6 linked regions of the Neurospora crassa OR74A genome follow. The protein of the gene in region 2 purifies or fractionates together with the protein of the main gene of each other region. This does not show direct contact. Links are inferred from orthologs where the notes say so. Each region holds a gene or a part of one and is shown on either strand. Other genes may lie near its edges. The genes, in order: NCU02685, NCU01235, NCU00505, NCU07832, NCU00210 and NCU06622.

Region 1 (4,528 bases), on a different chromosome or scaffold from region 2:
CACTCTACACCTTCGTCACGGCTTCTGACATTGCCCAGCACGATTTCAGCATTGAGGTTATCAACCAACTTGCTAGCAAATTGACTTTCAATGGGTAACTGCTGGTTAAGGAGCGAAAGGTAGTACTGCATCTCTCCCTGGGTGGTGATGATGATACCTTCACCATAGGTGTCGAACTGAGGACGACCGGCACGACCAAGCATCTGCAGCACATCCTGAGGACTGAGCTCAACCCAGCTACCTTTTTCAGGCGAGTACACTTGCGTGCCCTTGATGATGACGGTATGGGCTGGAAGGTTGACACCCCAAGCAAGAGTGGCTGTGCACACAAGAACCTGGATATGGCCACTGGCAAACAAATCTTCGACGTCGGTACGATCAGCACGACTCATACCAGCATGATGGATACCGAAGCCATAGGGCAAGATATCCTTCAGATCGGTGTTGTTGACAGAGTTGGAGGCTTCGCTCAGGACTTCACGGGTTCCGGCGTCGTGCTTCAAGATCTGGTTGATGGTGTCCATTTCCAAAGCCTTGTCCCTGATGTACCTGGCGGTCTTTGCCGTTTCCTTTCTGGAATGGACAAAGATGAGCATCTGATTGCGATTCTGTCCTACGTGCTCCAAGACCTTTTGGTAGGTGATATCATTCATGGTCTTTAACTGCTTGATGGCCTTTCTGTCCGTGACGCCGATAAACTCTTGACGGAGGGGGCAAGGGCGGAAGGTACCATCGAAGTGGAAGAGCCCGGTGTTCGTATCCACACGCAGGAAGCTCGCTACGTCGCGGTAGTTGGGCAGAGTGGCAGACAAGCCCACAATGCGAACAGGCTCACCGGTCTGCTCTGTCTTGCGGATGGTTCTGGCGACAATGCTTTCAAGCACAGGACCACGGTCATCGTGAAGGAGATGGATCTCGTCAATAATAATCAGGCGGACCAGGTTGGTGTAGGAGAGATCAGTAGCCTTTCTCGTGATGACATCCCATTTTTCGGGGGTCGTAACGATAATCTGCGTTTCCGAGATCTGTTGCTTAGTAAGTTGCCGATCGCCAGTGAGTTCGGCCACCCTGATACCGAATGGTTCGAGACGCTTTCCGAAGTTGCCGACCTGTTCTTGAACAAGGGCTTTCAAGGGCGCGATATAGACGATCTTGAAGGCGTCCAGGTCGATCTCGCCGGCTTCGTTTCTATGCTTCCCGATCTCACGAAGGATGGTGAGCATCGCCACGTTGGTCTTGCCAGAGCCCGTCGGAGCACAGACAAGCATGTTTCCATCATCACCAAAGGCAGTAGGATAGCACTTTGACTGAATCTTGTTTAACGATTTGGCCGTGCTGAAAGGTATCTGAGCCCACTCAGGCATTTCAGAAATCGGGACATGGGCGTCGCTGGGGTCGTTGCGCTTCTTTGGTGGGGGCACATGGATTTCTTCATAGCCCTTGAAGGTGCGCTTTGTCGAGCCCTCGGGAAGTCGTACTTTGGGATTGGTCATAAGGTGGTTACCCTGATCGAATATGAGGTTCTCCAGGTTTATTAACTTGCGTGGCTGCAGACCTCCGACTAGCTGTCCCTCGGGACGCTCAGGCTTTTGGCCTTCCTTATCAGCAAAGGCCCCCGAGTCAATGTCCATCTTGATGTCCATCTTGATCTTCTTCTGGCCGCCGTCGGTCTTGCCTTCCAGCTCGTCCAGAATCCAACGCAGACCCTCAGAAGCCATCTCCCGCTTGATCGTATTTCTCTCCTCCTCATTCTCAGCTCTGGCCAGCCGAGTAAGCCATACGACCTTCTCCCGGTTAGCAATGAGTTTTTGCACAAGCTCGTGGTGTTCGTAATCAAAAAGCTCCATCAAGTCGTTTTCGATGTCGCGGAGCTGCTTTTCTTCACCACCTGGCTCATCGGGCTCGCCGGAAAGAGTCTTGAGCGCAGACATTGTCTTATCATGCTGGATATGTGCGTCGGGATATAGCCGGCCAATCTGGCGTTGTAACCAGAACGCATCGATATCTCTGGCGGGTATGGAATTGTCGTCAGACCCGCTTTTCTTCCCTTCCGGTGCTGAATCGATGACCATGGCCTCGCCGTTCAGAATATCTTCGACCACCTCCTCCTGACCTCCTTCACCATCGACCACCTCGTTGCTGTCAGGCAGCTCTTCATCCTCCGCAAAATCCTCCTCATCGGAAGATTCGTCCCGAACAACATCAACCATGCCATCATCATCTTCATCGTTCTCGAAGTTGACCGCAACACCCTGGCGACCGTCAATCTCGTCGTCGCCTTCTTGCCTAGCATCGCCCGCATCCTCGTCTTCATCTTGAGCGTCGTAATCCGTGATCTTTTTGCCGAGATTTATGAGCTCGTTGAACTGCTTGGGCCCCATCGAGACTCCAAGAATATCATCAACCTCCTTCTTCTTGTCAAAATCCTTCAGGTCGTCATCCTTGAGATATTCGAGAACCGCGTCAGCAGCACTGCGAACGACCTCATGGGGCACGTCGCCCAAGTGTTCGGCGACAATGGTGAGGATAAGGTTGAAGGCATCGCGCGTCGGCTGCGTTCGAGGGCGGTAGCGGAGACCTTCGATAAGCGCGTCGGCGCCAGTAAGAATACCTCCACCTCTTGTAGCGGACTCGAGTTTGCCCTTCTTCTTCTCTCGTTGCAGGATATCAGCACCTTCCCTTAGACTGCCCCGCTCGACGTCGGGCATGGCGCCCGCCTTCTTGGGCTTTGGTGCTGAGTCGCGAGCGACTCTGGAGCCCATATCTTTGATGGACAGACGCCCGGCTAGGGACTCGGGGTCTCCCGTGGCCTCATCGGTACGCCTCGTGACGAAACGACGGTCCGCCTGGAGAACCAGGTTGGACATGGCCGAGTATTTATATTGCGACACATCGCGGTGGTGGTCCGTCATCTTGCCAGCTCGGAGAAGAAAAAAAGAAATCTATGAAATGTTTTGAGGTATACGTCAAGATCGAAGTAGAGGTCGTAGCGGATGGAAGAGTCTCGATCTGGTGATATCTTCAACTCGGCCTTTGGGGATAAAATGTGCTTGTTCTTGCGTGCACGCAGTGGCGATAAATTAGCCCGAGCCCGGCCCGAACCAAGCGTTGGTTTTGCTGGCTGATAAGTAGTATTTCGCCGGTCGCATCGATGGGTAGATCAAGAATCTGGGGTCGGGCGGAAACAGAGATGATGGGTTTCCGACAGAAGTCTGTCGCGGTTGTCGCGAAAGGAAGGTTGGAGTTTGGCGTTCAGTTTGGAAAGGTTGAGCCAGAGGCGTGGTTCTTGCCAGCCAGCAGGAACTTACTTGGCTTGGTAGGGGTGGCAAGCGGTGCAGAGATAGGTGTGGCTCCAGTCATGACGGCTGGAAATTTTTATGCAATGCTGCCGTCGTCGACTCTCATTGGCTGCCTGGACAGCACGTAAACACACTGAACAGCTGGAGCTTGACCTTGCTGTCAGGGCGGTGTTAGTGCATAGGCGGAGACCCCGTGGGGTGTGTAGAGGTTGGTCAAGGTGCACTAACAAACATCCTAAAGGTGGTAGGCACAATCATCAACACGATCTCAACCCATCGAGCAACTCGAGATAGGTGGCAGAAGTCTGATCCATGGGCTCCGACTTCTACGATACCTCTTTTTCATACCACCAAGAGGGACGAATCGTATTACTTCACGAGCTATTTGAACAATCATTTGAATGCTGGAAACTGAGATACCTCTGGTTCATACCACGCTCTCTTATGTCCGTCCTGCTCACATCGGGCTGAGCTCATCGATGATCACAGTCATTCACAATTTGACCAATAAGCTGTTTTATGCCTTGATATGAAAAGAAGCCAATACTGATAGACAGGTCAAGTTGGAATTATCTACACGATGGATTCCTTTCGAGAAACGCTAGAAGCTGTTCAGAAGGTGCTGCAACCATACACCAGGCCTCGCGAGGAAGCCGCCCATATCAGACGGATCTTGACACTTCACCTCAGTTCGGGCTTGAAAGACGGAGCAACGCTGACAGAACCGTTGTCTCTCACCGAGTCAAGTGAAGTACCCTCCTACTCACAAGATACTAGAGGTCTGTATAGGGAATTCCTCGAAGCATTGCGCGCGAACATCAAAGCCCGCAAAGAATACCACACACTCTCACAAAAGCGCAGTCATCATGAGGTTTCTGTCCCTCAACCAACAGAAATACAGTCTAACTACCTTCTCAACCATCTTACCAACCTCAAAATACAAAAGAAGCAAGAGAAACTGTTAGTGGTCAAGAAAAACCTTGACCTCTTGAGGCAGAAGCCGGCGGCATCACCGGATTTCCTAGACCACCAGAAACTTTTCAGAGTTTGCAGACCGCTACCTGAGGTTCCAACCGAGATTATCAACTCTCTAGCGCTCGAGGAAACGTCGGAGAACATCACCGCATCTAGCAGTGTCCGGCTCGAGGACCTTGTAAAGACACTCGAACACCGTACCTTCCAAACGAAACTGTCACTTAAACAGGAAGAGACCCTCCTCGAGAACGCGA
Region 2 (3,944 bases):
CCTTTTCAGGTGTCCCGTCTTCCTCCTCCCCAGTCCCTTCACTGCCTCGGCCCTTTTTTCGGCAGGGATATGCAGCGACTTGTGTGGGTTATTCAGCGCCCATTCAAATTTCAGCGCGGCAATCATGCTCGGAAAACCGGAGACCAGACAGACCATGTTCCATGGCCGAAGAGATATTTTCGAAGTGCGATAGGCGCCACCCTTGGCGAGCCCGTTGTGTTGTGAGAGGCGCCGGGGTGGGTGAGGCGTGGAGCCGATGTAGAGGGAAGCGTGTCGGGGCTGGGAGCGGAGGATGTAGACTGTGTAGAGGGCGGGGATGGGTTTGGGTTGGATTTGGGTGGTGGTGGTAGACATCGTTTCTGTTTTCCCCTATTGGGAGGGAATTGGAAATGTTTTCTATAGGTGAGGTTGTCGTGACGTTTGGCTTGTTGTCATTTGCAGTCAAGACCTTGTTTCTTTTGGGAATTTCCCGGTGGACGATGTGCTTGATAATGAATTAGATGTGAACCGAGTGTCGCGTCAGTCAGGACAGTCGCCAAGAAGTACCGAACATTCGTTGATTGCACCCATTGGGCGATTGTGGTATTTTCGAGGTGCAAAAGGCAAAGGGTAACCAAGTTTATACGTGATGAAAATTGGTGACAGTGAAGAAGTGGAAGTTGCCGTCTTTGTTTACAAGATGTTGTTTATTCATGGCCGCAGTACCCGGAATGGCTGCCCAATTATTTCACGCCCTTGACTTCGCCATACCCCACTTTGGTGGGCCCAAGCTTTCTAAGCCCTTGGCTGCTCTGTTGAGTCTACAGGATGAAATGTCGAACAATCTTGCTGTCTATGTATTGGTTTATGTAGTAGTCCGAATTCATAGTTCTGTTTTGGACGGGGAGGACTTTGGGGTATTATGTTAATGTCTCAGAGGGGTGTTTTGACCTTGCTCATCCATCCTCTTAAAACCTCTCAAAGCAGACCCTGCTTCTGCAGATCAAGATATACCTTCTCAGGCATGACATTACCCTCAGCGTCCTCCATCTGCACGATCGAGCCCTCATCCACGTTGGTCTTTCTCGAGTCACCTTGGATCTTGTTCCAAAGCCTCACCGCCTCCTCTATAGACGTGATGTCTCGGAACAGATGTGTGTTTGTGATACCCAGACGCTTCAGGTTGGTGATGTGATTTGTTTCGTTGAAGTGCTTGTCAAAAGCACGCCGGCCGCGGTAGACAAAGTTGCCACAGATCTCGCAGGGAAACTCTTGACCCAGACCATGCAACCTGTAGAGCCAGAAGGGAATCGGCTTTCCGTCCCAAGCCAGCGGTAGCTTGAGCGGATTGTAAATCTTATCATCTCCGCCATCATCCTCGTCTTCCTCAGCCTCCTTAGCCTGCCTTCTGAACGTGGTGTTGTAGAGATTCTCCAACTCTTGTTGCCGCTCACGCTCCGTCATGCCTTGCCTACGTTCAACGTTCACTCTTGTGTCGTCCCGCTCCGTCTTCATAGCGCTGGCGAGCTTCTTGATGCGGTACTCCCTCTCAGCGACCGCCCGTTCCTTGAGGCGATGCGCTAGCGGGGCAACCGTGCCGTTTGATGTACCGTTGGCCGACTCTCCGTGAATCGCCGCCAACACCTCAGCGGCCTTGATGTGCTTCCTGCCGGTAAGATGGTTCTTGTAAACGTTTTCGTTCTTGAACTCCTTCTCGCATGCCTCGCACCAAACCGCGTCAGCGCTGCTCAGAGTGCGGTCTGTCGCAGAGCCGTTGGCCGCCAGTTTCTCCTTGCGCCAGCCTTCAATTTCGTCCTTTTCCCAAGCCGAATCGAATTCCTTGTCCCAGCCACCAAACACCTTTTCGAGATTTTCGAGTGGTCGCGTACGTCGAATGAAGGATTCCAGATACTCCATCAACTCGCCGAGGTACTTGAAATATTGATCGGTCAACTTGTCGGCCCGCTTGACTCCACCATAACCGGGTTGGAAGTTGTCAAAAACTTCAAGATACTGCATATACGGGAGTCGCTTCACATTGGGAAGGTTGAGGTAGGATTCGTGGCTGGCGTGCAAATCGAAGAAACGGCCGTATGCCTCTTCGCCCGAGAACATGCTTTCCACCAAAAATGGCTGATCGTCGCCATGCTTCCGCGGCCGGTACCAGTTTTCCGAGTTCTCGGCTTGCTCATTTGGGTACCGCGAGTGGTGTTCCTTGATAGTGGCTACTTGTTTGTAGAATTCCTCGAAGGGGTCACCACTGCCAATCTGCTGGATTTCCTTGGAGCGCACTCCAGTCTTGTCCTCGTATAGGGGAAGAAGCTCACGGGACTGGTGTTGAATCTGATCGAGGAGTTGGGATATCTCATGGTCACGATTAAGACGTTCATGAATCTAAGAATGTGTCAGCACAGAAGGTCTTGAGAGATACTTCGCGTGGAGGAAACATGCCTGTTTTGGCTCGTCGCGCAAACGGTCCGCGATACCCTGCTCGAGGCGTTCGAGATCCTCGTGAATGTATCTCTGCTCTTCTATCAACATGTTGACCAATGTGACACCCGCGAATTCCCCTATTCAAGAAGAAGTGAAAATGCGCGTAGAAGAGCCGGACTTGTCGTGTCGGGGTGCAGAATTGCGAATTGGAAAACTAGGATGATTTCTAGAAGAGAGGTTGTTGAAACGTGCTTTTTCGGCGCCACCAGTTGCTTCCGTGTACGAAGTCCAGAAAGAACAGCAGAGAAACACGTCGCGGCAGGCAAAGAACTCCCCGGCAAGTCCTTAGCGAAATCCACCAACTGCCCTGTCACAGATCCCCCGTCGTTCCATTAAATAAGGTTGGCCGACATTCTGCCGACCTGAAGGCTTGTCATCTTGGCAACTTTTTTTGACAACGGGAAAGCTCCACTCCAGTGCACGCCACACGTCGACATCGCATCCATCGTCAATCACTGTCGCGCTTTCGGTACAGTGGACTGTTTTTGTCTCGGGTGCAAATAATTTCCAATAACGAAGTCAACACTCCGGTCGAACCGCATCGTCAACATCCGCACCCACAACATCGCGTCCTCGGCCCTGACACACCTCAGAAACATACCCGATCCATCGACAGAATCGCCCACCATGGCTGACGGCGGAATCGATCGCAAGGCCGATGAAAAGATTCAGTTCTCCACCTCCAAGGAGGTAACGGTTCATCCGACTTTCGAGTCGATGTCCTTGAAGGGTAAGTCTTGTCGCATCGCATGTATTTCATGGTTGCTGTGGCTTAGTGAATTGGATTGAAACTAACTGGTTCTCAAAACAGAGAGTCTCCTTCGCGGCATCTACGCCTACGGATATGAGTCCCCCTCTGCTGTCCAGTCCCGCGCCATCGTTCAGATCTGCAAGGGTCGCGATACCATCGCCCAGGCCCAGTCCGGTACCGGTAAAACAGCCACTTTCTCGATCTCTATGCTTCAGGTCATCGACACCGCCGTGCGCGAGACCCAGGCCCTCGTCCTTTCCCCGACCCGCGAACTTGCGACCCAGATTCAGAGCGTTGTGATGGCTTTGGGAGATTACATGAACGTCCAATGCCATGCTTGCATTGGTGGCACCAACGTTGGCGAGGATATTCGCAAGCTCGACTATGGTCAACACATTGTCTCTGGCACTCCTGGTCGTGTTGCCGACATGATTCGCCGCCGTCATCTCCGCACCAGACACATCAAGATGCTGGTTCTCGATGAAGCCGATGAGCTCCTCAACCAGGGTTTCCGCGAGCAGATCTACGATGTGTACCGCTATCTTCCGCCTGCCACACAAGTCGTCGTCGTCTCTGCCACCCTCCCTTATGATGTGCTCGACATGACCACCAAGTTCATGACCGACCCTGTTCGTATCTTGGTCAAGCGTGACGAGTTGACCCTCGAGGGTTTGAAGCAGTATTTTATTGCTGTGGAGAAGGAGGACTGGAAGTTCGACAC
Region 3 (3,353 bases), on a different chromosome or scaffold from region 2:
ACGCTTTGGAGCCAGCAAAGGCCAAATTATACAACTAGAATAGGTCAGTAGTTGAAGAGCAACCGTGTCTTGTGATCTGGTATCCATGGCCCTGTCCTCTCGGCGGGTGACCAGCTCTTCGGCCCTACGGGCTTTGTCTGGTTGGGCTGCACATCCTCATCCGTCCCCTGCCTTCTGTCCCTCGTCATTTATAAAGGTTGTGAGGCCGTGACTAACCCTCTCTTCGACTGTAGTCATCCACTACGAACCATTGACTTTACTGCGAGTTTGTCTCTTCGTTTGTCCGCATCGCTTCCACGGCGCATCGTCCTGAACACGAATCGACAACAAGAATTTTCCTCTACACGACATACCTTCACGGTCAAACTTTTCAACGCCGACATAGCGCCAGCCTAATCTTCCCAATGACATCCTTCGTTACAAATCTCTGGGAGTCGATCTTCACTCCGGGGCCGACTCCCACCCTCCTTATCGCGACAAATGTCACATTTGCCGCTCTGCAAATTGTCCTGGCGTGCCTCCTCTTTGCGACATGGAGTATCCACTTCGTAATTCTCTCGGCTCTCTGCGGTGGACTCTGGGGATCCATCAACTGGTTCGCGGCGGAACTGAAGGTGCACCAAATCCAAGAAGAGGAAAAGGCGAGAAGAGCCAAAGAAGCAGCGCCAACTCCAGTCACATCGGAAGACAGCGAAACAGAAGTAGAGGCAGCTACATCGACAGCTAGCCTCACGAGGCAGGAGTCAATTGCAGAGGCGGTCAGCCATGAGGTTGAGCCTATCCAGCAGATTGGAGAACTGAAGCACAGAGTGGTTGAGGAGACACCGAGCCTGGGCACTAAGAGCGGCGTCAGCACGGAAGATGAGTGGGAGAAGGTTTCGGAGAACGAGAACGAAAAGGACAAGTGAATATCCTGGCGATTGAGCGGGGACCGACCACACGCAGAACGTACAAGCGAATGTCGTGTTAGCGAAGTTACCATGGCATCCTGTAAATAGTGTCATGGTCCGCTTTCGTGTTGGAGTTGAGCGACGATGGCATTTACACATCCACCCTGTTTTCGTTCTTCATTGGATGAAAGGAGAGGCAGTTGAAGGCTGTAAGCCCTATGTTCGTTTCATAGTCCTTATCCTGCCATGAGGCATCATGATCTGTGCAACTACAGCTATAGCTTCAGAGACAAAGTCATAGTAAACAACACCTTGTTGTTCGGCGTGGCAGTTAGCCAGCCCATCTTCGTGTACCCCAATTATCTGGTTGCTTCAACTCAGCACATGAACAGATCATGTGCAGGGCAGGCAATTTATGGATAGCTTGAAACCCATGACTTCCAGGGTTAGGGGCTTTCAAGCCGCCGTTTGCCTGTTCAGCTCGGCTCACGTGATTGAGCACGGGCTCTATCTTGGCGCGTAGCGACGGCAGGCTATCTGCTCCACCCTGACGCTTGGATGGTTGTGCAAGCGTCCAAGGAAGCTCGACAAGCCTTCTCCCGTCGCGACTGTTGATTGACAAAGTAACAAGCTGGTAATCGAGACCTTGTCACCACCAATTCCATACAACACATATTCGATTACGCGTTGTCCAAATAAGTCAAGATGAAGCTGGTCAGGTAAGATTTCTCCTTGCTTTCTGATACTTCGCTACATGTACCCGATACCCCATCCCACCCGACTTCATTCCTATTCTCTTGCACGACGCATGCTGAGCTTTGAGTCCTCGCCTTCAAGGCTGCCAGCCCGTGTTCGCGCGCGTCCATGCTGCTCTACTAGAAAAAGAACACCAAGGGCACCAGGCTGACGAAGTGGAATCCGTTACTTCAACACTGCAGATTTTTGATGAAATGCGCCAACGAGACGGTGACGATTGAGTTGAAGAACGGCACAATTGTACACGGCACTATCGCCTCGGTCACACCCCGCATGGACACTGCGCTTCGCAACGTCAAGATGACCCCCAAGGGCCAGGACGCTGTGGCTCTAGATGCCATGAACATTAGGTAAATCAACCCTTTCAACTAAGGGGGAGTGGCCCTTTTCAGTTTTCGAGGGCATCACTAACTATTGAAACCCTACAGGGGCTCGACCATCCGTTACTTCATACTCCCCGATTCTTTGCCGCTCGATACATTGCTAGTTGATGATTCCGTGAAGCCCAAGAACAAGGCGAGAAAGGAAGCGGACCGCAGCGCCGGCGGCAGAGGTGGCCGTGGTGGCCGTGGCAGAGGAAGGGGAATGGGTCGCGGCCGCGGTCGTGGCCGTGGCTAAGCGGATCTCGTTTCTTTGGGATCGGCCACGGCGTACGTCTCCCTGGACGACAGAAACGTGCGAATTAGATTTTTTTTCAAAGACGATACGATGCTATACTACGGTTAATGGTGGATTTTTTTCGGTTTTTTATGCCCCCTTCGGTCGACCGGCTTGACCGTCTTGGTAGGGAAGATCAAGGCCGGCCCGAAATAACGTCCGGTGGCGACGACACGACAAAATCGACGATGAGTGCGCTTCAGAAAATCGAGGAGCATATCCCAGATCTTCACTTGAGCGACACTCGAGATTCACCTCATTCGCATCGAGTGTTACACACATAAACACCACTCCCCCTCATCGGATCGGAGCAGAGGGCAAGCATTGGGATTTCGTTGCGGCGTTCTGGACAGGATAAAATCACTTTGCTAGCGGGAAGGGAGAGAGAGAAAGGCGCGCCCAACCGCCACCGGAATGAACTATTTTATGTATCACAAAACAGATAGACGGCGATATATGCCTACTGGAGAAGGCGGCACAATCAGCAACTCTCTATACCAAATTTCCCCCAGAATTTTCGAGCCTTGTACGTGACTGACCATCGTCCTTCCCCCTCTTCCACCCTCTTCAACAGCTTCCTCCCCATCCTCAACTCATCACCAGCATCTCATCCCTCCATTCACCTCCAAACCCTCACAATCTGCAACTTCTCCCAACCCGCCTGCCTCCCACTAGTCCCCACCGTCTCTGCCTTCCACTTCCCTTCACCACCCATCACCCTGATCCTCCCTTTGACCTCCTCCGGCTTATTCTGCGCACAAAGCAGAATATACGCCACCCCCCTCTCGCTCAACACCCCCGGCAAGGCCTCAATCAGTCTATCCGTCGTCTCCATCCCATCCCTCCCTCCAGCATACGTCAACTCCAAGAGATGTGAGTCTTCCTCAAACGTCGTTTTCTCCTTCAGTGCCTGCAACCCTGTCGGTGGCGGCGCAGGCAAGTCAGGCGTAGGGACGTAGGGCGGGTTGAAGACTAGGACATCTACCGATCCGGGACGAAAGGGGGAGACGAGGTCACCTTGGGTTGCTGATGTCCAAAAACCGGAGGTGG
Region 4 (3,034 bases), on a different chromosome or scaffold from region 2:
TGCTAAGAAGAACGTTGGCCGCCTAACGCGTCTGTGGCTCAAGGCCGAGCAAGAACGCCAGCACAACCACATGAAGGATGGTCCCTACGTCTCTTCTGAGGAGGCTGTTGCCATTTACACTACTACGGTGCACTGGCTTGAATCGAGAAAATTCTCTCCCATCCCCTTCCCCAGTGTGTCTTACAAGCATGACACCAAGATCCTTATCTTGGCGCTGGAGCGCCTACGTGAGGCTTACTCGACCAAGGGAAGATTGAACCAGAGTCAGCGTGAGGAGTTGGCCTTGATTGAGCAGGCATATGACAGTCCAGGCACTACCCTCGAGCGTATCAAACGCTTCCTACTCACTCAAAGAGCTTTCAAGGAAGTCGGCATCGATATGAACGACAACTACAGCACCATCAACCCGGTCTATGATATTGAACCGATCGAGAAGATTAGCGATGCTTATCTCGACCAGTACTTGTGGTATCAAGCTGACCAGCGCCATCTGTTCCCCGCTTGGATTAAGCCTTCCGATTCGGAGGTGCCACCTTTGCTTGTGTACAAGTGGGCTCAAGGCATTAACAACCTCGACAGGGTTTGGGAGACCGCGAATGGCGAGTGCAATGTCATGATCGAGACGCAGCTCTCCAAGGTCTACGAGAAGATTGAGCTGACCTTGCTCAACTCGCTTCTTCGGTTGATAATGGACCACAACCTTGCGGACTACATCACGGCCAAGAATAACGTTACCCTAACTTACAAGGACATGAACCATGTCAACAGCTATGGTATGATTCGTGGCCTGCAGTTCTCAGCCTTCGTTTTCCAGTACTATGGTCTCATTCTCGATTTGCTGTTGCTTGGCCCGCAGCGTGCCAGCGAGATTGCCGGTCCTCCCCACGCACCCAATGACTTCCTTCAGTTCAAGGACCGGGAGACTGAAACAAGACACCCGATTAGGTTGTACACCAGGTACATCGACAAGATCTGGGTGTTCTTGAGGTTCACCGCGGATGAATCTCGCGACCTGATCCAGCGATTCTTGACAGAGCAGCCTGATCCCAACTTCGAGAACGTGATTGGTTACAAGAGCAAGAAGTGCTGGCCCAGAGATTCGCGTATGCGTCTCATGAGGCACGACGTCAACCTCGGCAGAGCTGTGTTCTGGGATCTCAAGAACCGCCTCCCAAGATCCGTGACGACGATTGAATGGGAAGACACCTTCGCCAGCGTGTACAGCAGGGATAACCCGAACCTCCTGTTCTCCATGTGCGGCTTCGAAGTGCGCATCTTGCCCAAGATCCGCAACCAGAACGATGAGTTCCCTGTGAAAGACAGTGTCTGGTCACTAGTGGACAACACGACCAAGGAACGCACCGCTCACGCTTTCCTACAAGTTACCGAAGAGGACATTCAGAAATTCAATAACAGGATCCGTCAGATTCTCATGTCGTCTGGCTCGACCACATTCACCAAGATTGCTAACAAGTGGAACACGGCGCTGATTGCCCTCTTTACTTACTACCGCGAGGCTGCTGTTTCGACCGTGAACCTGCTTGACACGATTGTCAAGTGTGAAACCAAAATCCAGACTCGTGTCAAAATTGGTCTCAACTCCAAGATGCCTTCCCGTTTCCCTCCTGCCGTTTTCTACACTCCCAAGGAGCTTGGTGGCTTGGGTATGATTTCCGGATCACACATCCTTATCCCTACTAGCGACAAGCGCTGGTCTAAACAGACAGATCTCGGAGTTACTCATTACCGTGCGGGCATGTCGCACGATGAGGAAACGCTGATCCCCAACATCTTCCGCTACATCATCCCGTGGGAAGCTGAGTTTATCGACTCCCAGCGTGTGTGGACGGAATACTCGCAGAAGCGTCTCGAGGCCAACCAGCAGAACCGCAGATTGACCCTAGAGGATCTGGAGGACAGCTGGGATCGCGGTCTGCCCCGTATAAACACTCTTTTTCAAAAGGACCGTAGCACGTTAAGCTTCGACAAGGGTTTCCGTGCCCGTTCCGAGTTCAAGATCTATCAGTTGATGAAGAGCAATCCCTTCTGGTGGACAAGCCAGAGGCATGACGGTAAACTTTGGAACCTTAACGCATACCGTACCGATGTCATCCAGGCGCTTGGTGGTGTCGAAACCATCTTGGAGCATACCTTGTTCAAGGCAACTGGTTTCCCGTCTTGGGAAGGTCTCTTCTGGGAGAAGGCCAGTGGTTTCGAGGAGTCGATGAAGTTCAAGAAGTTGACAAATGCCCAGAGGAGCGGTAAGTTCAACATACCATTTCTCTAGCATGAATTCATCATCATATGCACGCACAAATACTGACTTTGAAATACGCAGGTCTCAACCAGATTCCTAATCGTCGTTTCACGCTTTGGTGGTCGCCTACCATCAACAGAGCCAATGTCTACGTCGGTTTCCAAGTGCAGTTGGATCTAACTGGTATCTTCTTGCACGGCAAGATTCCTACTCTCAAGATCTCCCTGATCCAGATCTTCCGAGCTCATCTGTGGCAGAAGATCCACGAGTCAGTGGTCATGGATCTTTGCCAGGTCTTCGATCAGGAGCTTGAGGCTCTAAGCATCGAATCGGTTCAAAAGGAAACCATTCATCCCAGAAAATCTTACAAGATGAACAGCTCCTGCGCGGATATCCAGCTCTTTGCCAGCCACAAATGGAACGTTACTCGCCCATCGCTCCTTTTCGATACCAAGGATGTCATCGAGTCTACTACGACGAACAAGTTTTGGATTGATGTTCAGCTTCGCTATGGTGACTACGACTCTCACGATATTGAGAGATACGTCAGGGCCAAGTATCTGGACTACACCACCGACAGCATGAGTCTTTACCCATCTCCTACCGGTCTCATGATTGGCATCGATCTGGCTTACAACTTGTACTCTGCCTACGGTCAATACTTCCCAGGCTTGAAGCTCTTGATCCAGCAGGCTATGGGCAAGATCATGAAGGCAAACCCTGCGCTCTACGTTCTTCGTGAGCGTATCCGCAAGGGTCTGCAGCTCTACGCCTCCG
Region 5 (3,681 bases), on a different chromosome or scaffold from region 2:
CTTCCTCTGGCAACAAAGACCTCGTTTCCTCGGTGTGCGATGGTGCGATTGGGTCCCTGACTGGCGTTCCTGGAGGAAGCTATCGAAGCGGGGAGCCGGTTGGTTTCCTCGGCCTGCTCAAAGAGCTTATGGCCGGGGTTTGGCTCCTGGAGCCAGGGCGCCGAGAAGCTCCGGATTTTGGGCATCCCGACTGTGCTTGGTGGTTTTGTGCTAAGAGCTGTCTGTTGTCGCTATACTATCCAACTCGAGCCTGATGAATCCTACAGATGACGGTGGTTCGTGTGGCGCAATGAAAACCGAAGTTGGTGTCTGGCTAGGCAGAAATAGTAGCTTGTGTTGAGGTCCTGCTATGTCCTAGCATGCACGGGCCGGTTTTTGTCGTCGTGCTGCACTTCGCTTTCTCTGCTGAAGTAATGTATGTAGGTGGGGAGGTAATTGGCTATGTAGGTAGGCAGGCGCACTATGGTCGAGGTACGTATGTATTTGATGTACCGGTACTATTAATGTGATGGCGGTTCTCGGTTTTTGAAGATGAAAAAAAAAAAAAAAAAAGGTGATCAAGAGCAAGTAGAACAGAAGCCAAGGGAGGGAAGACAAGGAGAGAGATTGGGATCCCTTTTTGAAGTGGCAGGCCCCTCGATCGATCCCATGGGAGAAAAAGCCAGGAAAGCGAAGTTTGCTAGTGGTCTCGGTTGGCTGGTCAGGATGGTAACAACAAGGTTTGACTAGCGTGTAGTGCTACGGACCTGATGGATGCCCGTGGATGGACGAGTGCTGGATGCCACTATTGTCCAGTCCGAGCCAGTGCTGTAAATGAGGCGTCCAGGGCGTCACTAGAGGCGTCCGCTTCCGTGCCTATGCCGTATATTTTCCGTTGCTTGCCTTGATCGATCGTGTTAGCTTCATTTTAGCGCGTTTCCACTCCTTCCACAGCCCTTTAGTCCGTTTCAACTGTCCGCCGGTGTTCAGTCCAGACCGTGCTCGCCGCCTCGTCTCACACCATCGGTCATTGATCAACAGGAGACAGGCAGGCCGCCCGGGATGAGAGGGGATGGAATGGCCGAATGGAGGTCTTAACGGAGACCTAGCTGTATACATACTATAAATGGTAAGCCCGAGGTAGGTACAGTTGTGCTGTGACGCGCCTGTAAATTGGGTGCCAGATTGCGGTCCAATCGGCTGGCAATGGTTGTTGGATCAACGACAAAGCGCCTCCACCAAGTCCTCCTGCCCTTGCTTCCATCGCTCTGCCCTTGCCTGCCGTCGTCATATTTGCGGGCACCTCGTAAGATAGGGTACCTGACCCACCACCAACGGCTTCCGTCGCCCGTTACAGTGCCAAGACTACCTGGATTGCCATGCAGTGATGTCCGATGCACTGTGACACTGTGCGCCAACAGGACTAAGTGTAACTGACCTGAGCTGAACTGAACTGTGAACGAAGCCTGCAGTGCTGCTGTCGCGGTACACGGGCACACCAGTCGCGCTCAGAAAGTAGCTGCGCCTGTACTTCCACTTTAGCGGGCAACCTAAGTTACCTCTTAGGTAGGTCCAATTCCATTGGCAAGGGAAACCACTGCATCATCCCCATCGACGTCTCAGAACTCCAAACCATTGAACTTCCACTTGGGCTGACAGCTTTTGATTTTCCTTCTTCTTCGCAGTTGCAGGGCACCTTTCACCCAAGAGCAGATAATCCATCTTCACTACCAGGTAACCATGTTGAACACTCGCCAAAGGAGCACCGTAGAGCGCCTTGACAGGCCAAGTGCATACTTTTTCAACAAGGTGAGTGCTCCTGACGGCATTTCCATGCCCAAACATTGCCAATCTCTCCTGTCCATAATTAGCACCCCGTCGACCGCTGACCCATCCACTCAACACAGAATAGGCGCAACAGACGTCACGACCGGGACCACCGCGATGGAGAAAACGAAGACAGTAACATGCATCCCGAAGCGTTCGATGACCCGTTGAAGGATGCGACCACGCTCTACGTCGGCAATCTGCAAGTTTGCCCCACGCTGCCAGTCCTTAATTAAAAAAATCAAAAAAAAATCAAAAGAAACAAGAACTAACCGAATGTACCTCGGCAGTTCCTTCTACACTACCGAAGAACAGGTTTACGAACTCTTTAGCAAATGCGGCGAGATCAAGCGCTTGGTCATGGGCCTCGATCGCTTACAAAAGACACCGTGCGGTTTCTGCTTCGTCGAATACTACACCCATCAGGACGCTCTCGATTGCATGAAGTACATTGGCGGCACCAAGTTGGACGAGCGCATCATCCGAACCGATCTCGACCCAGGCTTCGAGGAAGGGCGACAGTACGGCCGTGGAAAGTCGGGCGGCCAAGTTCGTGATGAGTACCGTGAGGACTACGACGAGGGCCGCGGTGGTCTTGGCCGGCAAATCCAGGCCGAGAGAATGAGGGAGCATGACCACAAGCGCTACGACGATAACGACGAACAATACGGCCGCTTGCGCTAGAGTTGTCATTGCATGGGAGTTACGTGGGACAATGAGGGAGTGCATCATGATCCAGTGCACAGATATTCAACCAGTCGTCATGACAAATCGACACAAAATATGCAAGCCGGCTCTGAAATTACGAATTTTGTTCATTCAGGGCAAGTGGAGGCGGAACAGAGAAGCGTAAAAGACAAATACCCCCTTGGAAGACATGATATTCGTTGTTGTATTGGTATCTTGCTATGGTATTTCGGGAAATTATTGATTTCCCATCCATTCGGTATGGCTCCACACATTCTTCTGTGATGCTCGCCTGGCCGTGTTTGCGCTGCTCTCTGCAGTGGTATCTCAACATGGAGCGAGCAGGAGTGTCCATGATGGACAGGACCTCCAAGTCAGTCAGTCTCTTTGCGAGACGAGACAGGAGGCCTCCTCTTCTTTGCCCCAAGCAAACGGTCCTGTTAGCGGTATCTCCAATGTCACCCATGCCATTTCGCTGCGTAATGTTACAAGTGATATACATGCTTGCACGATATCGTCCATCGTCCGGGTCGAAGGTCTTAGTAACCGGGAGGGTTGACTCTCTGGGACACACGGGTCCACTTGGGAAGCTCTGGAAAAGGAATGCCGTATTAGCCTTGGTCTTTGACTGCTGTGAAGTGATGCACAAGGGTGGCCCGTACTGTGGATGCCCTTGCGGTACCTCTTCTCCTTGCGGTCGAAGATGGTGTACTTGTCCTTGGGCAGCATCTCGGCCTCGGTGGGCATCTCAGCCCTCCAGCGTTCCACCGCCTTGACGGTCTCACCCTTCTTGGCAAGAGCGTTCTCAATGGTGGCGACGACGTTGTCAACGGCCCTCAGTCTGCGGCGCTGCCTGAGCTTCTGGAACTTGGACATGCGCCATGGGATCTTCCTGTTTGCCGCGACATGATTAGCATTTCCGGTAGAACCTTTGGCGCAACTGCAACATAGGGTAGTCGCTTACCAAAGAAGACCCCCGGAGAGGGGGTTGGTGAATCTGAAAGCCCCAAACATTGTGGTGGTGGTGGTGGATGTTTGGGGGGGGAGAGCTGCAACCGGTTCGCTTCGTCAGGATGGGTCCCGAAGGTATCGCGGGAATCGGCGCGGGCGGGCGGTCGTCGTCCAAAGTCCAAACAGTCCCGTCCAAAAAAAATCGCGGGTCCGTTCGCCAACCCCAACCCCGAAAGA
Region 6 (3,960 bases), on a different chromosome or scaffold from region 2:
GGCCAAAGCCGAGCGCAAGCCTCGCCGCAACGTGCAATACAAGGACGTGGCCGCTGCCGTCTCCCACCACGACAATCTCGAGTTCCTTGAGGACGTGGTGCCCAAGACTTCTTCCTACAAAGCCATCAAGGCGCAAGCAGCGGCCGCCCGGGCCCGCGTCAAGGGCGGGAGCGACGTTGTGGTTCCTCCTGCGGGGACCGCCGCCGCGGTCGTTTTGGCGCCTGGACCGGTTATGGGAGGACTGGCAGCTCCCGAGGGGGTTATGCTATCTTTGGAGCAGGGACAAGTGGGTGATCATGGAGATGAGCGGGATAGGATGGCGATGCTGCCGAATGCCAAGAAGCAAAAGGGGTCCGGCGGGTTGCAGCAAACGTCCATCTTGATGTCTATGAATGGGGGGTTGCCTGCTGGTACAGGAAGCGGTGCTAGTGGAAGCATTGGAGGGCTGGCGGCGCCGGTGAATGGACTCGGTGCTGGCGGGGTTAATACCGGTATTACCAATATGGGTGTCACGACGGGTGTGGTGGGCATGTCGTCGGCTTCGGGACGACCATTTAGTTCTACTCCTGGTGTGATGAGCGGCATGAATAGGGGTATCTTGTCGGCATCACCGCCAGCTACTACGTCGGACGAGGATCCCAGCGCGCAGTTGCAGATGGAGATGAGGCAGGCGGCGTCACAGCAGTATCGGGGTCATGATGGGGATGTGGATATGACGGGTTAGTTGAGTGACTGTCCATACATACAGAGCCGAATAGACGTGTTGAATATCCGGGCGAGTACAAGACGTTAAGAGGTGTAGAGTTGCCGAATCAAAGACCATGGGCCCTTGATATGCTCGTCCTAACGTCCCTTTCCTCAAGGCCGCTCCGATTGCTGCGGTGAAATCATGACACCACTATCATGTTTCACTATCTCTGTTTCAACCCAGCAAATTTGCGCAATTTGGTATACAGTTATTTTGCAGTAAGCCCCATCTAGAACCGAACGCCGACAAATGGTAAGCTCTTTGAAGTGCCGTCCTCCCCCTTTTCGTCACCTCTGCAAGCCATCATATCACGAACATATAGCAACCTGATCTACCACGTTCGTCAGGTGCCCGTCACCTTGGTTCCTCCTTACTCCTCCATGGCATCGTCATCCTCGGCGATAATGCCAGGTGGCAGCCGTCCCTCGTTGAGCGCCTTCTCCAATCTGATGATTTCCTCCAAGCTGTCGGCCTTCTTGATCAGATCCTGCAACTTCTTCTTCTCTTTCTCTGTGAGCTTGAGACGCGAAAGTTTCGAGGAAGGACCACTGCCGGCCGCACCGTTGGCGGAGCTGGCGCCAACGTCAAAGGTCTTGCTCTTGATTCCCTTTATCTGTTTGCATGTTAGCAGGGTTGTCATGACATTGAAAAAGAAGACAAGGTACATACCGTCTTGGCCAACTCCGTCGGCTCATCAGCGGTTCCAAACAGCTCCTTCGCCTTCTGCCTCTCGGCGTCCTTGACCTTGACGTAATCGAGAAAGCGAACCTGAGGGCACAGCCAGAGGACCCAGTAGCGGTAGTTCTGTGTGTCGACAAACATTGTCAGCCATTCCGTACATTCATTCCATTTGCCACCCCCGTCTCCGATTCTCTCTCAGCCGCATAACACTGGGCGACGAAAGGGCGTTGTGTGACGTACCTCCTTCTTGGTAACGGGGTTGTCCGTCAAGACCAAGTGCGTAAGCCTTGGAAACCTTCCCAACACCTCCAAATCCGCCAGCTCGCCAATATTATTGGACGCCAGGACGAGGTTCTTCAGGTTCGGGGTCGCATTCGGTAGGGTCGACTGGATCTGGGCGATCCTGTTGCGGGCGAGCAGGAGGGTGCGTATGCGGGGAGAGAGCGGGAAGTTGCCCAGCACTTGGATATCGTTGTCGGTGAAATCAATGGCATCGTGGGGCTGTAGTAGCGACCGGATTAGCAAACTGCATTAATTGGTAATTTGGTTGAAACGGGCTACCAGTAGCAGGACTAGCAGTAGAGGAAGAACCAGGAGAAGGGAGAAACTTACCCCAGCAACGCCCAAGTTCTCAATAGCAGGTATTCTGTGTCCTATTGCATGTATCCCAACCCAACATAGGTTTTCGATATATCAACTCTGTTCTTTGTACGCGCTTTTGGAAACTTGAAGATCAACCGTGCAGTATCTGCTCTTCTCGATGGAACGCACCTCGGAGGTCTATCTCTCGCTCCTTAAGCGGATTGAGATAGGAAAGGGAGTTGTTGATAAGGTCTGCCGTCAGCCTCATTGTGACGACGGGAGTGCAACGACGACGGGGAGCTGTCGAGCTGTCGCTGCTACTACTACTGCGATGCCGGTCGGTACCTTGTGATGGTTGTTGCTGGTGGTGCTTTTGTAATACGGCGGCGCAAAGGGGCTTTGCAAACAGGTGATTAATTATTGATTACAGCCAGGAGAATTGCCGTATGTCCTGTGTTCGCCTTCGAGATTGAAATTGATGGAAGTCAACTAAAGAAGCAAAAGGTTGAAGCGCGTCGCGTGGTTCGTAATTGGTGGCTGTAGTGAAGTTACCAAAGTAGATTGACAAGGCTGCCTGCCCCAATGAAGTCATGGACAGCGCCGCAAAAAAAAAACGGACGATGTAGTAACCCTAACCCTTGCGCGTCGGATTACTTGCAAGTCGCAACCACACGGAGCTCCTAAACAGAGTCGACACGGTTTGTGTCTGAAAGACTAGGGTACTAGAGTCAGATATTATATGTTCATTTTCTGCCCTCTTGTTGGCCTAAAATGTTTCTTACTCGCTATCTCGCCAGGTTGCTGTCAAGTTTTCGTTCTACTTCTTGGTGTAAACGCTTTCACAACCACTAACCGCCCGCTATGGAAAAACCAAAACCACTTTCATCACACTCGCTCTTTAGTCCAGATCCCCAACCCGGCATCATCTAAAGAACCTGCAGCTGTAACTTTAGGGCTTGTTTCGTTATGATGCACACTATTGTGCAATTCCATTGTAACGTCACCAACAATGCTATCCCTACATCGTCTAACCGGACGTCGAATGACGCCTTCCATGCTACTCAAACCAGAAGCCAAAGTCACTGACACAATAAGCTTGCTATGTAACGCATCACGCAAGTTCCATGTCCATTACCTGGTATCACACACACACAGAATTTGCCCGACCTTGAACCAGAAGCGGGATTTAGTATGCGAATCCACACCTCTCGTCCTTTTATGCTGATAATTTGGTGCCCAAGGGTCGTGCCACTCACTCACTACTCGACGATAAGCCCCTCCAAAGCTTCCATCGCTCTGGCACCCTGCTTCTCAAACAGCAGGACCATCTCCTCGCATTCCCTCTTCAATCTCTGCTCAGCCAAGTTGGCATTATGATAGATCCACTCCTCCACGGTCATCCGCTTTTCCGGGCTCGTGAGCTCACTGCCCTTGTGCAAGAGTTTGTCAATGCCGTCTTCCTTATCGTAGTCGTTCTTGTTGGGCGAGAATATATTGTCTAGATCTGCCGCGGTCCAAGGCTTAGTGCTTTGAAGGGCACCCAGAATCGTCCGTTTGGAAGGAGAAGTGGGCCTGTCCGGTGTGGTAGCCATTGGTGCTAGAGCATGACGTTCGACTATTGGGGTCATTTGCTTCGGCGATGGGGGTCGGTTCTCTGCATTCGAGGATTGCATTGAAGGCGAGCGGTAGACGCTTGGCTGTTCTTGAGGTACACTCGCGACTGTAGGTGCCTGAGGTGTAGCAAGCGGCTGAGACAGGTGATCTGGGGACTCAGATGGCGGCGGAGGAAGAGACTTGTTTAGTTTGGCTGGTGTCGGCGCAGCTCGAGTGACGGCCGCTCTAAGAGGGGAGGCCCGGGGCGAATGTTCCGGAACCGGTTCTTCTGCTGCCGCTTCAACGCTCGCCTCTTTCGGAGTTGAAGCTGATAAGCGGCGCTCGGTTTCAAGCTC

The links.
Region 1: the proteins of NCU01235 (region 2) and NCU02685 purify together in Saccharomyces cerevisiae (affinity purification with mass spectrometry; 3 studies listed by BioGRID). This does not show direct contact. The link is inferred for Neurospora crassa OR74A from reciprocal best matches to the Saccharomyces cerevisiae genes PRP9 and BRR2.
Region 3: the proteins of NCU01235 (region 2) and NCU00505 purify together in Saccharomyces cerevisiae (affinity purification with mass spectrometry; 4 studies listed by BioGRID). This does not show direct contact. The link is inferred for Neurospora crassa OR74A from reciprocal best matches to the Saccharomyces cerevisiae genes PRP9 and SMD1.
Region 4: the proteins of NCU01235 (region 2) and NCU07832 purify together in Saccharomyces cerevisiae (affinity purification with mass spectrometry; 3 studies listed by BioGRID). This does not show direct contact. The link is inferred for Neurospora crassa OR74A from reciprocal best matches to the Saccharomyces cerevisiae genes PRP9 and PRP8.
Region 5: the proteins of NCU01235 (region 2) and NCU00210 purify together in Saccharomyces cerevisiae (affinity purification with mass spectrometry; 4 studies listed by BioGRID). This does not show direct contact. The link is inferred for Neurospora crassa OR74A from reciprocal best matches to the Saccharomyces cerevisiae genes PRP9 and CBC2.
Region 6: the proteins of NCU01235 (region 2) and NCU06622 purify together in Saccharomyces cerevisiae (affinity purification with mass spectrometry; 6 studies listed by BioGRID, with this or other methods). This does not show direct contact. The link is inferred for Neurospora crassa OR74A from reciprocal best matches to the Saccharomyces cerevisiae genes PRP9 and LEA1.

The regions. Positions count from the first base shown.
Region 1 is NC_026501.1:3,198,273-3,202,800, forward strand, and holds the start of NCU02685 (pre-mRNA splicing helicase), read right to left. Parts: upstream 3,027-4,528; 5' UTR 2,913-3,026; coding exon 1-2,912. Other genes in the region: NCU02686 (hypothetical protein), read left to right, coding at 3,880-4,078, 4,193-4,452, 4,504-4,528.
Region 2 is NC_026505.1:3,309,055-3,312,998, reverse strand, and holds NCU01235 (splicing factor 3a subunit 3), read right to left. Parts: upstream 2,666-3,944; 5' UTR 2,521-2,665; coding exon 2,431-2,520; intron 2,374-2,430; coding exon 958-2,373; 3' UTR 683-957; downstream 1-682. Other genes in the region: NCU01236 (GIY-YIG catalytic domain-containing protein), read right to left, coding at 1-354; NCU01234 (eukaryotic initiation factor 4A-12), read left to right, coding at 3,100-3,202, 3,284-3,944. UniProt on the Saccharomyces cerevisiae protein: mRNA splicing factors, PRP9, PRP11, and PRP21, are necessary for binding of the U2 snRNP to the pre-mRNA in an early step of spliceosome assembly.
Region 3 is NC_026501.1:8,193,039-8,196,391, forward strand, and holds NCU00505 (small nuclear ribonucleoprotein Sm D1), read left to right. Parts: upstream 1-1,468; 5' UTR 1,469-1,595; coding exon 1,596-1,609; intron 1,610-1,727; exon of another isoform or gene 1,728-1,828; coding exon 1,829-1,996; intron 1,997-2,074; coding exon 2,075-2,264; 3' UTR 2,265-2,814; downstream 2,815-3,353. Other genes in the region: pkr1 (ER membrane protein), read left to right, coding at 405-908; NCU00504 (hypothetical protein), read right to left, coding at 2,923-3,353. UniProt on the Saccharomyces cerevisiae protein: lays a role in pre-mRNA splicing as a core component of the spliceosomal U1, U2, U4 and U5 small nuclear ribonucleoproteins (snRNPs), the building blocks of the spliceosome. Also binds telomerase RNA and is required for its accumulation.
Region 4 is NC_026503.1:1,009,994-1,013,027, forward strand, and holds part of NCU07832 (pre-mRNA processing splicing factor 8), read left to right. Parts: coding exon 1-2,261; intron 2,262-2,338; coding exon 2,339-3,034. UniProt on the Saccharomyces cerevisiae protein: Functions as a scaffold that mediates the ordered assembly of spliceosomal proteins and snRNAs. Required for association of BRR2 with the spliceosomal U5 snRNP, and the subsequent assembly of the U4/U6-U5 tri-snRNP complex.
Region 5 is NC_026503.1:3,018,501-3,022,181, forward strand, and holds NCU00210 (nuclear cap binding protein subunit 2), read left to right. Parts: upstream 1-1,528; 5' UTR 1,529-1,719; coding exon 1,720-1,788; intron 1,789-1,886; coding exon 1,887-2,008; intron 2,009-2,096; coding exon 2,097-2,490; 3' UTR 2,491-2,971; downstream 2,972-3,681. Other genes in the region: NCU00209 (hypothetical protein), read right to left, coding at 1-185; NCU00211 (mitochondrial ribosomal protein subunit L31), read right to left, coding at 3,033-3,085, 3,156-3,385, 3,458-3,507.
Region 6 is NC_026504.1:1,833,381-1,837,340, reverse strand, and holds NCU06622 (U2 small nuclear ribonucleoprotein A'), read right to left. Parts: upstream 2,579-3,960; 5' UTR 2,280-2,578; coding exon 2,201-2,279; intron 2,083-2,200; coding exon 2,042-2,082; intron 1,931-2,041; coding exon 1,670-1,930; intron 1,553-1,669; coding exon 1,418-1,552; intron 1,362-1,417; coding exon 1,119-1,361; 3' UTR 725-1,118; downstream 1-724. Other genes in the region: NCU06623 (hypothetical protein), read left to right, coding at 1-724; NCU06621 (hypothetical protein), read right to left, coding at 3,271-3,960. UniProt on the Saccharomyces cerevisiae protein: Involved in pre-mRNA splicing. Associates to U2 snRNA in a MSL1 dependent manner and is required for normal accumulation of U2 snRNA. Required for the spliceosome assembly and the efficient addition of U2 snRNP onto the pre-mRNA.